3 linked regions of the Saccharomyces cerevisiae S288C genome follow. The gene in region 3 interacts genetically with the main gene of each other region. Each region holds a gene or a part of one and is shown on either strand. Other genes may lie near its edges.

What was found. Genes that interact genetically often act in the same process or in processes that back each other up.
Region 1: mutations in PIK1 (region 3) and GGA2 impair growth when combined (synthetic growth defect), as found in Saccharomyces cerevisiae (3 studies listed by BioGRID, with this or other methods).
Region 2: of PIK1 (region 3) and STT4, changing one enhances a phenotype caused by changing the other (phenotypic enhancement), as found in Saccharomyces cerevisiae (3 studies listed by BioGRID, with this or other methods).

The regions. Positions count from the first base shown.
Region 1 is NC_001140.6:326,542-330,571, forward strand, and holds GGA2 (phosphatidylinositol 4-phosphate-binding protein), read left to right. Parts: upstream 1-1,761; coding exon 1,762-3,519; downstream 3,520-4,030. Other genes in the region: thioredoxin-disulfide reductase TRR2, read left to right, coding at 1-85; septin CDC12, read right to left, coding at 272-1,495; CTM1 (cytochrome c lysine N-methyltransferase), read left to right, coding at 3,769-4,030. UniProt on the Saccharomyces cerevisiae protein: May play a role in the regulation of membrane traffic through the trans-Golgi network.
Region 2 is NC_001144.5:737,853-745,783, reverse strand, and holds STT4 (1-phosphatidylinositol 4-kinase STT4), read left to right. Parts: upstream 1-1,920; coding exon 1,921-7,623; downstream 7,624-7,931. Other genes in the region: chitin deacetylase CDA1, read right to left, coding at 1-164; NEDD8-conjugating protein UBC12, read right to left, coding at 933-1,496, 1,631-1,633. UniProt on the Saccharomyces cerevisiae protein: Acts on phosphatidylinositol (PI) in the first committed step in the production of the second messenger inositol 1,4,5,-trisphosphate. STT4 functions in PKC1 protein kinase pathway.
Region 3 is NC_001146.8:139,274-144,627, forward strand, and holds PIK1 (1-phosphatidylinositol 4-kinase), read left to right. Parts: upstream 1-1,604; coding exon 1,605-4,805; downstream 4,806-5,354. Other genes in the region: LYP1 (lysine permease), read left to right, coding at 1-1,112; IST1 (Ist1p), read right to left, coding at 5,007-5,354. UniProt on the Saccharomyces cerevisiae protein: Acts on phosphatidylinositol (PI) in the first committed step in the production of the second messenger inositol 1,4,5,-trisphosphate. PIK1 is part of a nuclear phosphoinositide cycle and could control cytokinesis through the actin cytoskeleton.

The sequences.
Region 1 (4,030 bases), on a different chromosome or scaffold from region 3:
TAGGTATAGACAAGCAGTTACTTCTGCTGGTTCCGGATGCATTGCTGCTTTGGATGCAGAACGGTACCTAAGTGCCCAAGAGTAACGTGAAAAAACCGGTTTATTTTTGTTTTTACTGTTCGATTGTGTTACGTATTCTATGTTTTTTGAGATATATTTGAAATATTTTTATAAGATACATATATATATGTGCGTATTGCTGCGACAAAAGAAGAGACAAAGAGATAGGCGTTGAAATTGACGAGACAAAGAGGAAGACATTAATTAATCATCATTTTAAATGGGATTTTTTTACTTGCAAGCTTTTGACCTGCTCTTCTAGTTTTTTTACCTTTCCTTGAATTTCTTCCAAGTCACCGTTCAGTCTGATTCTTTCGTTAACAATGTTTTGCTCCCATTGTCTAAATCTTTGCTCCTCAGCTTTGACTTGGTCAGTGAAATACTTCTTCAATGCATTTTCTTCTTCTTTGTATCTAGGATTGTGTGACAATTTCCTTGCTGGTGCAATTGCTGGAAGAGTGAAATCTTCATTCCCCTCCCCGGTGTTCTCGTGACCCTCAAGTCTTAATCTTCTGTATGTTTCGTAATGCATTTCTTGGGTGGTAGAAATCAAATCTAATAGATAAGTCCTCAGTAACAGGGCTCTGAGCTTACGGAAATCACAATGAGAATCGTTTTCGATTTCCACAAGTCCCCAAGGATACTTCCTTGCAACTACCTGAGTGCCTTGCCCATTGTCAAATTTTTTTTCAGACCCTACTATGGCAAATGGCATTGCTTCTATCAACTGTCTTGCATGTTCAACAGCGGCAGAATCTGGATTACTGCCACTTTTGGCATCTTCCTTAGAATCAGCGTCTAATGGAGGCGTGAAAATACGAATTTCTTGAGCTTCTATTACTTGCCTGATTCTGGACTTGAACTGTTGTAATTCTTGGGCAGTCAATGTATCAGCTTTCGCAATAACTGGAATCAGATTGGCTCTGGTTGACAATCTCTTCATAGTCTCAATGTCAATTGGCTTTAAACCATGTCCAGTGGGCCTGATGAAGTACAGAACGGCATGAACTCTCAAGTCAAATTTCTTAGTACGGTACGGTTGCTGCTCTTGACGCATATAAGAATCGTGTTGATCATCAATAAAATCCACCAATGGTTGCCAGGCTTTGTTGTTATTCACGTTATCTCCAAAACCTGGGGTGTCGATGACATTAACGCGTAATTCGAAATGCTTCTCTTCCAGCAAAGCTCTTGTGATGTCGATTTCTACAGTCTTTCTGATGGGTTCTTGGCGGTGTTGCTGACCATCTGCCCTTTTCAAGACAGTCTGAAATAAGGTATTAATAAATGTAGTTTTACCCAATCCGCTCTCACCACATAACATCACGGTGAATGTACCACCTTCTTCATTAACAATTTTATAACGCTGGTTGGGAAGATTGGATATCCCTACAGGAGGAGGAACAGGGGCAGCAGTCGCAGTGGCAGCACTCATTATTTGATACAATATGTGATGTAGTTCGTTATCAATACTCTTCAGGTCAAGATCCTATATCTTGCTGCACCTTTCAAGACTTTGATCTACTCAAAACAAACAATGGTGATTTCGAAAAAAATTTCGGATTCTTCACTTTTCCAGCGCCCTGTTTTTTTTCTGTAATCACGATTGCAAAAAAAAGAGACTTACCATAGGACAATTTCCATAAACAAAACAAAGAGCAACATAACTCATAGCTGAATTGCTAATCGTGATACTGCATCATGTCCCATCCGCACTCACATAGCATATATTTGTCTGAGTTGCCCGTCAGGAAACCTCAAGCCTTGGGCAATCCTCTTTTGAGGAAGATTCAAAGAGCTTGCAGAATGTCACTTGCTGAACCAGACTTGGCGTTGAATCTTGACATTGCTGACTACATTAATGAAAAACAGGGCGCTGCCCCTAGGGATGCTGCCATTGCACTTGCTAAACTGATCAACAATAGAGAATCGCACGTGGCAATATTCGCGTTATCTCTATTAGACGTGCTTGTCAAGAATTGTGGATACCCATTCCACTTGCAAATTTCTAGAAAGGAATTTTTGAATGAACTGGTCAAGAGATTTCCAGGTCACCCACCATTACGTTATTCTAAGATTCAGAGATTGATTTTAACTGCTATTGAAGAATGGTATCAAACAATTTGTAAACACTCAAGCTACAAGAATGATATGGGTTATATTAGAGACATGCACCGTTTGTTGAAATATAAGGGTTATGCATTCCCCAAAATCAGTGAATCCGACCTAGCAGTTTTGAAGCCTAGTAATCAATTGAAGACCGCTAGTGAAATTCAAAAGGAGCAGGAAATTGCTCAAGCTGCAAAACTCGAAGAATTGATCAGGCGTGGTAAACCTGAAGATTTGAGGGAAGCTAACAAATTAATGAAAATCATGGCAGGGTTCAAAGAAGACAATGCCGTTCAAGCTAAACAGGCTATTTCCAGTGAATTGAACAAATTGAAGCGTAAAGCCGATTTGCTGAATGAAATGCTGGAATCACCTGACTCACAAAACTGGGATAACGAAACTACACAAGAACTTCACAGTGCATTAAAGGTAGCTCAACCAAAATTTCAAAAGATCATTGAGGAAGAACAGGAAGACGATGCGTTAGTGCAGGATCTATTGAAGTTTAATGATACAGTTAATCAACTATTGGAAAAATTCAACTTATTGAAAAACGGTGACTCCAACGCTGCTTCGCAGATACATCCAAGTCATGTTTCTGCTCCGTTACAACAATCTTCTGGTGCTTTAACGAATGAAATCAACTTAATCGATTTCAATGATTTGGACGAAGCGCCCTCTCAAGGCAACAACAATACCAACGGCACGGGTACACCAGCAGCAGCGGAAACATCTGTCAATGACTTATTGGGCGATTTGACCGATTTATCTATTTCGAACCCTTCAACCGCTAACCAAGCATCCTTTGGTCTGGGAGGCGATATCGTGTTGGGGTCCTCTCAACCCGCACCACCAGTTACTACTACTAACAACTCGAACAACACTTTAGATCTTTTGGGACTTTCAACTCCTCAATCGCCAACTAATTCCCAAGCAGTAAACAGTAGTGGGTTCGATCTTTTGATGGGATTTAATCCAACAACAGGTACTACTACTGCGCCCGCAAGAACCCTAGTCAATCAGTCTCCTAACTTGAAGATTGAGTTCGAAATATCTAGGGAGTCAAACTCAGTTATAAGGATAAAATCGTTCTTTACAAACTTAAGTTCGTCACCGATCTCCAACTTAGTGTTCTTATTAGCAGTCCCTAAGTCAATGTCTTTGAAATTGCAACCCCAATCGAGTAACTTTATGATTGGCAACGCTAAAGATGGTATCTCTCAAGAAGGTACAATTGAAAATGCGCCAGCTAACCCTTCAAAGGCTTTGAAAGTCAAGTGGAAGGTCAACTATTCTGTCAACTCCACCCAAGCTGAAGAAACTGCTGTTTTTACGTTACCTAATGTATAATCCTCTGGCGTTTCTTATCAATCCTTTCTCTTCTCTATGTATATTTTTAGAAGGATAATACCTCTATGTAGACAATCTTATAAAGATCTTCGCAACAATACATATTTCACTTACTAATATATGTTGCGTTTTCATGCATCAAAAGTAGTTAGCAATGCTAGATCGTGTAAAGGAAAAAAAAGAGAAATAGTATAATTCGCCATCCTCATAACCACTGAAAAATCGAAGTTAACCAAAAGGAAAGTTGAAATGGAGGAAGTGTTCCGTTTTTACTCGAACTCTAGAAATATCTTCATTCATAAAAGCCTTTCATTAAAACCATCCACCATTGATGACCCCAAAAGTGGATATGGCCTTTTCGTAGAACCTTCGAAGTTCAAGAATGATGAATTGAAAAGTGAAACTATCCAATTGCTCCGAATCCCTAAGCGCTGCACGTTTAATATAAACACACTTCTGGCTCTCTTGGGAGATGAGGACGAATTTTCTTCAAAGGAAGAATTTCAAAGAA
Region 2 (7,931 bases), on a different chromosome or scaffold from region 3:
GGCCATTGTGTAAGATTAGTAAATTCTGTTAACCACTCTGGAAAGGGCGTTTGCATATCTACTTCCCCCATCAATGCGGTACTCCCATTTGACGCAAGGCAATTTCCCTGTTTTAGAAAAAATGCTGCGAACAGCACAGATTGTATTGTATTGAAAATTTTCATCTCTTTTCTTGTGTAAAAGTAAATCTATCACTTAATTTTGTTTCTCTATATTCCACTTTGCTTACTTCTAAGCATCTACTTTGTTAGAACTATTGGTCTTTTTGAAAACACAAAAGTAAATCAACCCACTTGTTGGTATTTTTCTCTTTTAATTGCGATTGAATGACGGCCGGTCCGGAAAATGTGACATCTGGAAAAGAGAAATGTTGAAGCTGCTTCCAAGTGCATGAGACAGAATTTTTTTTACAGAAAATAGAAAGCGTTATCTTGTTAAATATTACTAACTAGTATAGTCATTCATTTTTTTCTTCCATAGTTGTAATATCTTTATTTTTTGTAAGAATTAGCGATAGCTGAGATTGCGTTCTTCAACTTCCTGCTCTCTCTTAGTCTTCTATCCAGGGTATCTCACCTTCCTGATTATCTTGTCAATAGCCATGGCTTCGCTGTTTCTTTATTATAAGAAGTATTTTTTGTTTTCTTCAAGAAATTTTTCGTATTAATATCTTTATGTTTTGTTTGCCTTTACTGGCCAGAAATTTTATACTTATTTTGAATAGAACACATTAAGTTCTACAGGTACCTGCAAAATATCGAGACAAAAGTTTGAACGAGAATATAAGGAATGTTGGTCATAAGGCGTAAACTAACAGAAGATGGCGGTAGCAAGATGTTACCAAGGCGACAACTCGCCTAGTATGTCACAATTATCTATAATTTTATTGTTTATATATAATCAAATCAACCGAAAATTACTCTGAACTTGACTCAAGGAGAAACTATGTTATCATATTTGACATGTTCAATTGAACCTCCAGACATGGTCAATCTCACAGCTTCAGCAAATTCTTTCTCACCCTCACACAGTAACTTTGCTGCATCCTTGTTTAACGGGTCATTGGGATTAGGCTCCAAGAACAAGAAAAGAAGCCCGGTTATAATACTCTGCAAATCTAGAGCTGGCGACCAGTCTTCTCGAAGAATATTTAGGCAAACGTTCCCCTTTAAATCGATATTTGGATGAAAGATCTTCTTCAAACATACAACTTTTGGTGGTTCAATCGGATAAACTTCGTTAAAATCCAAATTGAAATTAATAGATCCATAATTATAATATCCTTCATCAGGCCTAACAATTACCTCCAATTTCGGCGATTGTGATCTATCCGCACTATCTGGTGATGTTATTACATTCAAAGTCACTGTTGGTGGGAGGTCCAGCGAATCAAGGTCCCTTTTCAAACGAATTCTTGCTGCCGATAAATTAGGCTGAATAGAACTGCTGTTTTCATTTTCTTTTTGCTTTTTCTTTTGTAATTGGCGTAATTTCAACTATTTGAATAAAGCCAAGAATATACATATCCAGTACACATATACATTCTCACCCCCCAAAAAGATTATGTTAGTATTTTCGATCGCTAAAAACCGCCAATGAGAAACGGAAAGATATAGTTGCATCTACGTACCATTTTTATTATCTTGTTTTATATTCTCTAACTGATTCTTTAATGTCTCTAAGTACATTTATGAATGATTGGCCTTTTTCATCTCATTTTACCTTTTGGCTGATATCATCAAACGGCACGCGCAGGGATGAAGGTACGTTAATAGTATTTTTTTTTTTCAAGAATACTGCGAAGATGTTTGAGTTGTGGGAAAAAACATATTCAACATTAATAACTATTGTAAATCAAGAAAAAAATTAGATCACAAAAAGATAACTACAGCAATCGAAAACGCCACTCGTTTAAGGCAGATGAGATTTACCAGAGGATTGAAAGCCTCTTCATCTTTAAGAGCGAAAGCTATTGGAAGACTAACTAAACTTTCGACGGGTGCACCAAATGATCAAAACAGTAATGGTACAACATTAGATTTGATAACTCATACATTGCCTATTTTTTATTCCACAAATACGTCAAAGATATATACTATACCACTTACATTGAGTGAATGGGAAGTACTAACTTCGCTTTGTGTTGCAATCCCTACCACGCTCGATCTGGTAGAGACAATGCTTAAAGAAATAATTGCGCCTTATTTTCTGGAAACTCCAAGACAAAGAATTTCAGATGTTCTGTCCTCGAAATTCAAGTTGGAACAGATGAGAAATCCGATTGAATTGCTAACTTTCCAGCTGACTAAGTTTATGATTCAAGCTTGTGAACAGTATCCCGTTCTTTATGAAAATATAGGCGGCATCATTTCAACTTATTTTGAGCGTGTATTAAAGATTTTTACTATTAAACAATCTGGTCTACTATCATTAGTGGGCTTTATTAATGCATTTATCCAGTTTCCCAACTCTACAGAGCTTACTAAATTCACCTGGAAAAAGTTAGCGAAACTTGTGCTTCGTGGATCATTTCTAAACGAAGTTGATAAGATTTTGAATTCCTCAGCAACGTTTACCAATGATTCAATCGTCCAGTATTACGATGCTGGAAATGAGCTATCCAGTGCCTACTTATTGGAATTAATATCTCGCTTGCAAGTTTCGCTAATATCTCATCTGTTAAACACTTCACATGTCGGCGCCAACTTGAGTGAGTTCTTACTAAATCAACAATACCAATTTTACAAATTTGATCAAGAAGTAGCCGATGAAAACGATGATACGAAGTGTATTGATGACTTTTTTTTCAACGTAAGAAGCAATAAACAGTTTTTTACAGACATGTGTAAAATTTCCCTGCAATTTTGTTCTGAGTCACATATTCTCGACCTATCTACAGACAACCGTGCAAGATTTTCTTTTGATACTCGAGCCCACTACCTACAAACGCTATGTTTAATTCCGTTTATAGAAGATACAGAAAGCGAGCTTTTTGAAAGTTTTACAAACGTTGTTTCTGAATCTATTGATAAATTTTTCTTATCTGATGTCGTTACACCATCTTTGATAAAAGCAATTGTAGCTTCTGCCTCATTACTGAATTTTTTCACGGAAAAATTGTCATTAACTCTGATTCGTATGTTTCCTTTATTGGTAGCGTCTCCACATATCACGACTGAAACAGTTAATGATGTTGCAAAAATATTCACCACAGGGTTATACCCTCTAAATGAAGATGCAATTGTGAGTACAATTTATTCCATGAACAACTTATTAGCTGTTTCCGAGGACGGATCGCCCGTCCCGGTGCTCCGTGAGCGCCAATTAACAATAACATCTGGAAAAAATATTGAGAAAGACTACTTTCCCTTGCGAAATTCATCTGCCAGTTTGGATGGCACTGGTGCTCTGCTCGGAAATACAACTGTGGGCCAACTTTCCTCCCATGATGTCAATAGTGGAGCTACTATGACATACCATGCCTCTTTGATATCTAATTGTGTGGCTGCAACGACTACAATCGCCTCATACTATAACACCCAAAGCATAACAGCTTTGACTATCTCTATTCTTACGCAAAAAGTTAATTCTATGTCAAAGGAATTAGACGGTGTTATTTTGAATTCTTTGGCAAGACTGGCTCCGAATACTTCACTGACAGAATTTTCGCTTTTACTAAAGTTCTTCAAATCGAGAACTGTTATTGCAACAAAAATTGATGATAGCGCACTATTGAAAAATATTATTAAAGCGAAATGTGTGATATCAAAAGAATTGTTGGCCAGGCATTTTTCAAGTGACTTATATTTCATGTATCTTCATGATCTATTGGACTCAATCATTGCCAGTGGGGAAGTAGAACGATTGGAACATCACAGACCTCAAACGGAGATTTCCCGTGTTGCTGATCAAATCGCTACCTACTTAGAGCCCCTCGCCGCTCTACTACCTGTTCCAGGCGATACGCCATTGGACATCAATAAGGATGAAGTCACTACAAACAAGTTTAGGAACGCCTGGTTTAATTTTGTCATCCATGGGTACCACTTGGGCGGGCCTATTGTCAAACGAAATTTTTCTTTCTTATTAACTATTGCCTATAATTCACCACCGCTGGCTTCTGAATTTCCTGCTAATAACAAGGAGCTTTCATTGGAAATGAATACAATTTTGCGCCGCGGTTCATCTAACGAAAATATCAAACAACAAAAACAGCAGATAACCGAATATTTCAATACCAATATTGTTCAGTACAGAACAACTTCATCGTCTAAAATCATGTTTTTAGCGGCTGCCGTTCTTCTAGAAACGATAAGATGCGAGGCAGGTGATTGTTCGAAGACTCTACTGTACTTCTCAGACCCCTCCATTCTTTCCGGTTCAATTGAGAAGTGTATTGCAGTTTTGTCGGTTTCCATGATTAGAAAATATGCTAGGTTGATTCAAAAGGGTAACGATGCCATATTCAACTCCAAAATGATTGCTCAACAACTTAATAACTTGCTACTTTGCCTTTCTCATAGGGAACCAACTTTGCAGGATGCCGCTTTTCATGCCTGTGAAATATTTATCAGATCTATTCCATCATCGTTATGTCATCATTTGTCTCTCTACACCTTATTAGATATGTTAACAGCCCTATTTGATAGTATCTTGGACTCAGAGGCGCATAAATTTGAACCACGGTATGAATTTAAATTAAAACATTCTAAGACAACAATATTGGTTCCAAGCTCATCGTCCTGGCGCGCTACGACACTATCAAGATTGCACAAGTCAGCTAAAGAATGGGTAAGAATTCTATTGAATAGAAGCAACCAGGATACTAAGATTTTGTTGCAATCATACATATCAGATCTCGGTGAGTACAGCAGGCTAAATTCTGTTGAATTTGGTGTCTCATTTGCCATGGATATGGCTGGTTTGATTTTACCTGCAGATAAGGAATTATCAAGGCTTACTTATTATGGTCCAGAGAAACCTAACACGATTTCTGGATTTATATCTTTACATTCTTGGAGGTCAAAATATCTTTTCGATACCGCTATTACATCATCACCAGAGGATATCAAAAGGCAAATAGGTATTTCCACTCAAAACATAAGAAAAAATTTGACCTTAGGAAATAAGATTATAACTAAAGACGTAACTGATTTTCTTGATATGGCTACCGCGTTGTTAATTCTTGGCAATGGTGCACCAGCGTCATTGATATATGATATTGTGCACATCCCGTTCGAAGTCTTCACCTCTGCATCTTTAAAGATTGCTACAAACGTATGGTTAACAATCATAACTGAGAAGCCCGAAGTTGCACATTTGCTTTTAGTTGAAGTATGCTATTGCTGGATGCGCTCCATTGATGACAATATTGGTCTCTATTCTCGCGATCATGACTTAAAGGGCGAAGAATACCAAAAAATGGAATATTCCCCTTACGACAAAGCAGGTATCAACAGAGATGCAAAAAATGCATCCCAAGCTATGCAACCACATCTTCATGTTATTAAATTTTTTGCTTCCCATTTCGAGGGCACACTATTTCAAAGTGACTTTTTATTGAAAATTTTCACGAAATGTGCGCTTTATGGTATCAAGAATCTGTATAAGGCTTCACTACACCCGTTCGCTAGAATGATTCGCCACGAATTATTGTTATTCGCGACTCTCGTACTAAACGCAAGTTATAAGCAGGGATCCAAGTATATGGGCCGTTTGTCGCAAGAAATCACAAACGGTGCCCTAAGTTGGTTTAAAAGACCAGTAGCGTGGCCATTCGGCTCAAATGAGCTGAAAATCAAAGCAGATTTATCTGTTACTAGGGACCTTTTCCTTCAGCTCAACAAATTAAGCTCGCTAATGTCACGTCATTGCGGGAAAGATTACAAGATCCTGAACTATTTCTTGGCAAGCGAAATCCAGCAGATTCAAACCTGGCTTACTCCGACTGAGAAGATTGAAGGAGCCGACAGCAACGAGCTTACAAGCGATATCGTTGAAGCTACCTTTGCTAAAGATCCAACATTAGCAATAAATCTCTTACAACGATGTTATAGCAAGAAAGCTGAGGATGTTTTAGTGGGCTTAGTTGCAAAACATGCTTTAATGTGTGTGGGGTCCCCAAGTGCTCTTGACCTGTTCATAAAAGGAAGCCACCTGAGCAGTAAGAAAGACCTACACGCAACCTTATACTGGGCGCCAGTGAGCCCGTTAAAATCTATCAACCTTTTCCTTCCCGAATGGCAAGGTAATTCTTTTATCTTACAATTCAGCATATATTCGTTGGAATCACAAGATGTGAACTTGGCATTCTTCTATGTTCCTCAAATCGTACAATGTTTGAGATACGATAAAACCGGATATGTCGAAAGATTGATTTTGGATACTGCGAAAATTAGTGTGTTATTTTCTCATCAAATAATCTGGAATATGCTTGCAAACTGCTACAAGGATGATGAAGGTATACAAGAAGATGAAATCAAACCAACTCTAGATCGTATTAGGGAGCGTATGGTTTCAAGTTTCAGCCAATCTCATCGCGATTTTTACGAACGTGAATTTGAATTCTTCGACGAAGTAACTGGCATATCTGGTAAGTTGAAACCATACATAAAAAAAAGTAAGGCTGAAAAGAAACATAAGATCGATGAAGAAATGAGCAAAATTGAGGTGAAACCTGATGTTTATTTACCTTCTAATCCTGACGGTGTAGTTATTGATATTGATCGGAAGAGTGGTAAGCCACTTCAATCTCACGCAAAGGCGCCTTTTATGGCGACCTTTAAAATAAAGAAAGACGTAAAAGATCCTTTGACAGGTAAAAACAAGGAAGTTGAAAAATGGCAAGCTGCTATCTTCAAAGTCGGTGATGACTGTAGGCAAGATGTTCTAGCGTTACAATTGATCTCGCTATTTAGAACCATTTGGTCTAGTATTGGCTTGGATGTCTACGTTTTTCCCTACAGAGTTACTGCGACGGCACCGGGTTGTGGTGTCATCGATGTGCTACCCAATTCGGTATCCCGTGATATGTTAGGACGTGAAGCTGTTAATGGATTATATGAATATTTCACTAGTAAATTTGGTAATGAATCTACTATCGAATTTCAAAACGCACGAAACAACTTTGTTAAATCCTTAGCGGGATATAGCGTAATTTCGTATTTGTTGCAATTCAAGGATAGACATAATGGTAACATTATGTACGATGATCAAGGACATTGTCTACATATCGATTTTGGGTTTATTTTTGATATTGTCCCAGGTGGTATCAAGTTTGAAGCAGTACCATTCAAGCTGACGAAAGAAATGGTTAAAGTGATGGGAGGTTCGCCCCAGACCCCAGCGTATCTGGACTTTGAAGAACTTTGTATCAAGGCATATCTAGCCGCCCGTCCGCACGTGGAGGCCATAATTGAGTGTGTAAATCCTATGTTAGGAAGCGGTCTCCCCTGCTTTAAGGGTCACAAGACAATTAGGAATCTAAGAGCAAGATTTCAACCTCAAAAAACCGATCACGAAGCTGCACTATATATGAAGGCGCTAATCCGTAAAAGTTATGAAAGTATATTCACTAAAGGTTATGATGAATTCCAAAGGCTCACAAATGGCATTCCGTACTGATATACTTCGCACTTTACATATGCTTATATAAAAATACCAGTTTCCCATCGTCAATTACGCAGACGTAGCCTTCGTTTATTTTCTCTCTTTTTGTATATCATTGTATTAATCATAATCCATTGTATTTTACTTTGTCTTATCTGGCTTTAATGAATGACGCCGGTCACACGCGGGTGCCTGATTCTCGATTGTGCCAAGCCATTTGGGCACGGTGTCAAATTACCTAAAAAATGGCCGAGAGCCGCAAAAGGGAGGTCCGCGGGGCCGGGCAATACCCTTTGTTTTTCGAGCATTTCGGCGCCGAAATC
Region 3 (5,354 bases):
TCAAAGTTTATGGTGAATTTGAGTTCTGGGTGGCCTCTGTTAAAGTTTTAGCCATTATGGGTTACTTGATATATGCTTTGATTATTGTCTGCGGTGGATCCCACCAGGGCCCTATCGGTTTCAGGTACTGGAGAAATCCAGGAGCCTGGGGGCCAGGCATCATCTCCAGTGATAAAAGTGAAGGCCGTTTTCTCGGATGGGTCTCCTCCTTGATTAATGCTGCATTTACGTACCAAGGTACTGAACTGGTTGGGATCACCGCTGGTGAAGCGGCTAACCCAAGAAAGACCGTTCCAAGAGCTATCAATAAAGTCGTCTTTAGAATCGTACTATTCTATATTATGTCTTTGTTCTTTATTGGTCTACTGGTTCCATACAACGATTCCCGTTTATCTGCTAGTTCTGCTGTTATTGCATCATCACCCTTCGTTATTTCCATTCAAAACGCTGGTACTTATGCTCTTCCAGATATTTTCAACGCCGTGGTGTTGATTACTGTTGTATCTGCCGCTAATTCGAATGTTTACGTTGGTTCCCGTGTTCTTTACTCTTTAGCTAGGACTGGTAACGCACCAAAGCAATTTGGATACGTCACCAGACAGGGTGTTCCATATCTCGGTGTTGTTTGCACTGCTGCATTGGGTCTTTTGGCATTCCTGGTTGTCAATAACAATGCAAACACTGCATTTAACTGGTTGATCAACATTTCCACTTTGGCTGGGTTATGCGCCTGGTTATTCATCTCTTTGGCACATATTAGGTTCATGCAAGCTTTAAAGCACCGTGGTATTTCTCGTGATGATCTGCCCTTCAAGGCCAAATTGATGCCTTATGGTGCCTACTACGCAGCCTTTTTTGTCACCGTCATCATATTCATCCAAGGGTTCCAAGCGTTCTGTCCGTTCAAAGTTTCTGAGTTTTTCACATCTTACATCTCCTTGATTCTTTTAGCCGTTGTGTTCATTGGTTGCCAGATATACTACAAATGCAGATTTATTTGGAAGCTAGAAGATATTGACATCGATTCCGACAGAAGAGAAATCGAAGCAATTATTTGGGAAGACGACGAGCCTAAGAATTTATGGGAGAAATTCTGGGCTGCTGTTGCATAGTCACAGAACCTCTTGCATGCCTTCAAAATAGAAAAAAATAAAAAAATAGACGTTTCATTAATCAAAATAGCCTGTAGAGATTTTGAGGGATTGCCCCAAACTTTATGTATAATATCACCACTTATTATTCACTATTCATAGTATGTTACATCATAAGGCCATTGTCACCTTCGGCCAGCGATAGTACTCAAATCTATAATAAATTTTCCATATTATCCTTTACGTACTTGATAGCGTGTATAACAGGGTCATTATTCACGATATGTTCAACTGTTGTCATTTTCGTGTTATTGCACTGAAACAAAAGAACCCTACCAAAAAATTCGTTAGAGAAAAACTAAAAGTACAAGATCTTATACTGAAGACCCTTCATTTTTTAGGCCCAACTTCTATATTAAGAAGATCCCTGGACCCTGCTAGAAATTTTCAATTAGCTTATCATTTTTCTTCATTGCGAGCGTTCGTTTTCATTAAGCATTCGTTCTCTTCACTATGCATAAAGCATCCAGTTCAAAGAAAAGCTTTGATGATACTATTGAACTAAAAAAAAATGAACAATTACTGAAACTGATCAACTCTAGTGAATTCACCCTTCACAATTGTGTGGAGTTACTGTGCAAACACTCCGAAAATATTGGTATACATTACTATTTATGTCAGAAATTGGCCACATTTCCTCACAGCGAACTACAGTTCTATATTCCCCAACTAGTACAGGTCCTCGTCACCATGGAGACAGAATCAATGGCTTTAGAAGATTTACTATTAAGGTTGAGGGCGGAAAACCCTCATTTTGCACTACTGACGTTTTGGCAGTTACAAGCGTTACTAACGGATTTATCTACTGACCCCGCTTCTTATGGCTTCCAAGTGGCTAGAAGAGTCTTAAACAACTTACAAACCAATCTCTTTAACACAAGTTCAGGTAGCGATAAAAATGTTAAAATACATGAAAACGTTGCACCGGCCTTAGTTCTTTCCTCTATGATAATGTCGGCTATAGCATTCCCCCAATTAAGCGAAGTGACCAAACCATTAGTGGAATCTCAAGGTAGAAGACAAAAAGCTTTCGTTTTTAAGTTGGCTAGAAGTGCAATGAAAGATTTTACCAAGAACATGACCTTGAAAAATACCCTACTAAACAAGAAAACTTCCAGATCCAAAAGAGTTAGCTCAAATCGCAGTTCAACTCCGACTTCTCCAATAGATTTAATAGATCCAATAAAAACTAAAGAAGATGCATCCTTCAGGAAATCCAGACATAGTGAGGTAAAATTGGATTTCGACATTGTGGATGATATAGGTAACCAGGTCTTTGAAGAAAGAATCTCATCTTCAATCAAACTCCCAAAACGTAAACCTAAGTATTTGGATAATTCATACGTTCATAGGACATATGATGGCAAAAATATAAACAGGGACGGAAGCATTTCAAATACCGCAAAGGCTCTCGATGGAAATAAAGGTGATTATATTTCTCCAAAGGGACGTAATGATGAAAATAATGAGATTGGTAACAATGAAGATGAAACTGGTGGTGAAACGGAGGAGGACGCGGACGCTTTAAACTCTGATCACTTCACCAGTTCTATGCCAGATCTGCATAATATTCAACCAAGGACTTCTTCTGCTTCATCTGCTTCTTTAGAAGGGACACCTAAGTTAAACAGGACCAATTCCCAACCCCTTTCGCGCCAGGCATTCAAAAACAGTAAAAAAGCGAATTCTTCTTTGAGTCAAGAAATTGACTTGTCGCAATTATCGACCACTTCAAAAATAAAAATGTTAAAAGCAAATTATTTTCGTTGCGAGACACAATTTGCCATTGCGCTAGAAACAATATCTCAAAGGCTAGCTCGAGTACCGACAGAAGCTAGATTGAGTGCCTTACGAGCCGAGTTGTTTCTATTAAACAGGGACCTACCAGCGGAAGTAGATATCCCCACTTTATTGCCTCCAAATAAAAAAGGAAAGTTACATAAATTAGTGACCATTACTGCTAATGAGGCACAAGTTTTGAACTCTGCAGAAAAAGTTCCATATTTACTCCTGATAGAATACTTGAGAGACGAATTTGATTTTGACCCAACAAGTGAAACCAATGAAAGATTATTAAAGAAGATCAGTGGTAATCAGGGAGGCTTGATATTTGATTTAAATTACATGAATAGAAAAGAAAACAACGAAAATAGAAATGAAAGTACTCTTACTAGCAACAACACTCGATCTTCGGTATATGATAGTAACTCGTTCAACAACGGGGCCTCCCGCAATGAAGGTCTATCCAGTACCTCAAGAAGTGATTCAGCGTCCACAGCTCATGTTAGGACTGAAGTCAATAAAGAGGAAGATTTAGGTGATATGTCAATGGTAAAAGTCAGGAACAGAACGGATGACGAAGCGTATAGAAATGCTTTAGTAATACAGAGTGCCGCAAATGTTCCAATTTTACCTGATGATAGTCAAGACAGAAGCCCAGAGTTGAACTTTGGCTCAAACTTGGACGAAGTACTCATCGAGAATGGAATTAATAGCAAAAATATACATAGCCAAACTGACGCTTTAGCAGACCAGATGAGAGTTTCAGCTGTTATGTTAGCACAATTGGATAAGTCGCCACAACAGTTATCAGAAAGTACCAAACAAATCCGCGCTCAAATTATTTCATCAATGAAGGAGGTGCAGGATAAATTTGGTTACCATGATTTGGAAGCCCTTCATGGAATGGCAGGTGAGAGAAAATTGGAAAACGATTTAATGACGGGTGGTATTGACACTTCATATCTAGGTGAAGATTGGGCTACCAAGAAAGAGAGGATACGTAAAACTTCGGAATATGGCCATTTCGAAAACTGGGATTTATGTTCTGTAATCGCCAAGACGGGTGATGATTTGAGACAGGAGGCGTTTGCATACCAGATGATTCAAGCGATGGCCAATATTTGGGTTAAAGAAAAAGTTGACGTTTGGGTTAAAAGAATGAAAATTTTAATTACTAGTGCGAATACGGGACTTGTGGAGACCATCACAAATGCTATGTCTGTGCATAGTATTAAAAAGGCTTTAACCAAAAAAATGATTGAAGATGCAGAACTAGATGACAAGGGTGGTATTGCCTCTTTGAATGATCACTTCCTTAGAGCTTTTGGTAATCCTAATGGATTTAAGTATAGAAGAGCACAAGACAACTTTGCTTCTTCGTTAGCCGCATATTCTGTCATTTGCTATCTCTTGCAGGTTAAAGATAGACACAACGGTAACATTATGATCGATAACGAAGGCCATGTAAGTCACATCGATTTTGGATTTATGCTATCAAATTCACCCGGCTCAGTGGGCTTTGAGGCCGCACCATTCAAATTAACTTACGAATATATTGAACTGCTAGGCGGAGTAGAGGGAGAAGCGTTTAAAAAGTTTGTTGAACTAACTAAAAGTTCGTTCAAGGCTCTGAGAAAGTATGCTGATCAAATCGTATCAATGTGTGAGATTATGCAAAAGGACAATATGCAGCCTTGTTTCGATGCTGGCGAACAAACAAGTGTACAACTACGACAAAGGTTCCAATTGGACTTATCAGAAAAAGAAGTTGATGACTTCGTAGAAAATTTCTTGATAGGTAAATCTTTGGGTAGTATTTACACCAGAATATACGACCAATTTCAACTTATTACACAGGGTATATATAGCTGAGAAGGAAAATAGCTGTGACAGAACTGGAAAAACAATTTGCAAATGTCCGGAGAACAAAAAAATTGGAATTTTAGTAAAAGGAATATACATATATTTATTTATTGCCGAGAATAATAGAGCAGCTGACTCAGAAAAAGCAAGGTAAAAGAATGAGAGTAAAATAAATATGTGGTTAATTAACCATACATATAAATTATTATCTTATTTTCTGCGTAAAGCGTCAAACCGTTTCTTCAACTCATCTAGTTCATCATTTTCTTGCTCCTTCTTAGTCTTTCTTTTTGTAGTTTTCTTTTCTGATTGTTTCTTTTCGATCACTTCCTTTTTGATATCTTTCGGAATCTTGAGCTCGTTCTTGATATTTTCACTATTCTGCCTAGGCTTTTTAACAGTGATAGGGTGTTTAGCATCTGCATTGTCATTATCGTCATTATCTAAGGCTAAAATAGGCTTTTCTTCGTCATTATCCTCGATATCTCCCGAGGGGTCACTAAAGTCTGAAGAAATGTTAGAAGACGACGAAGATAAGGAATTCTCCAGCTTACTATA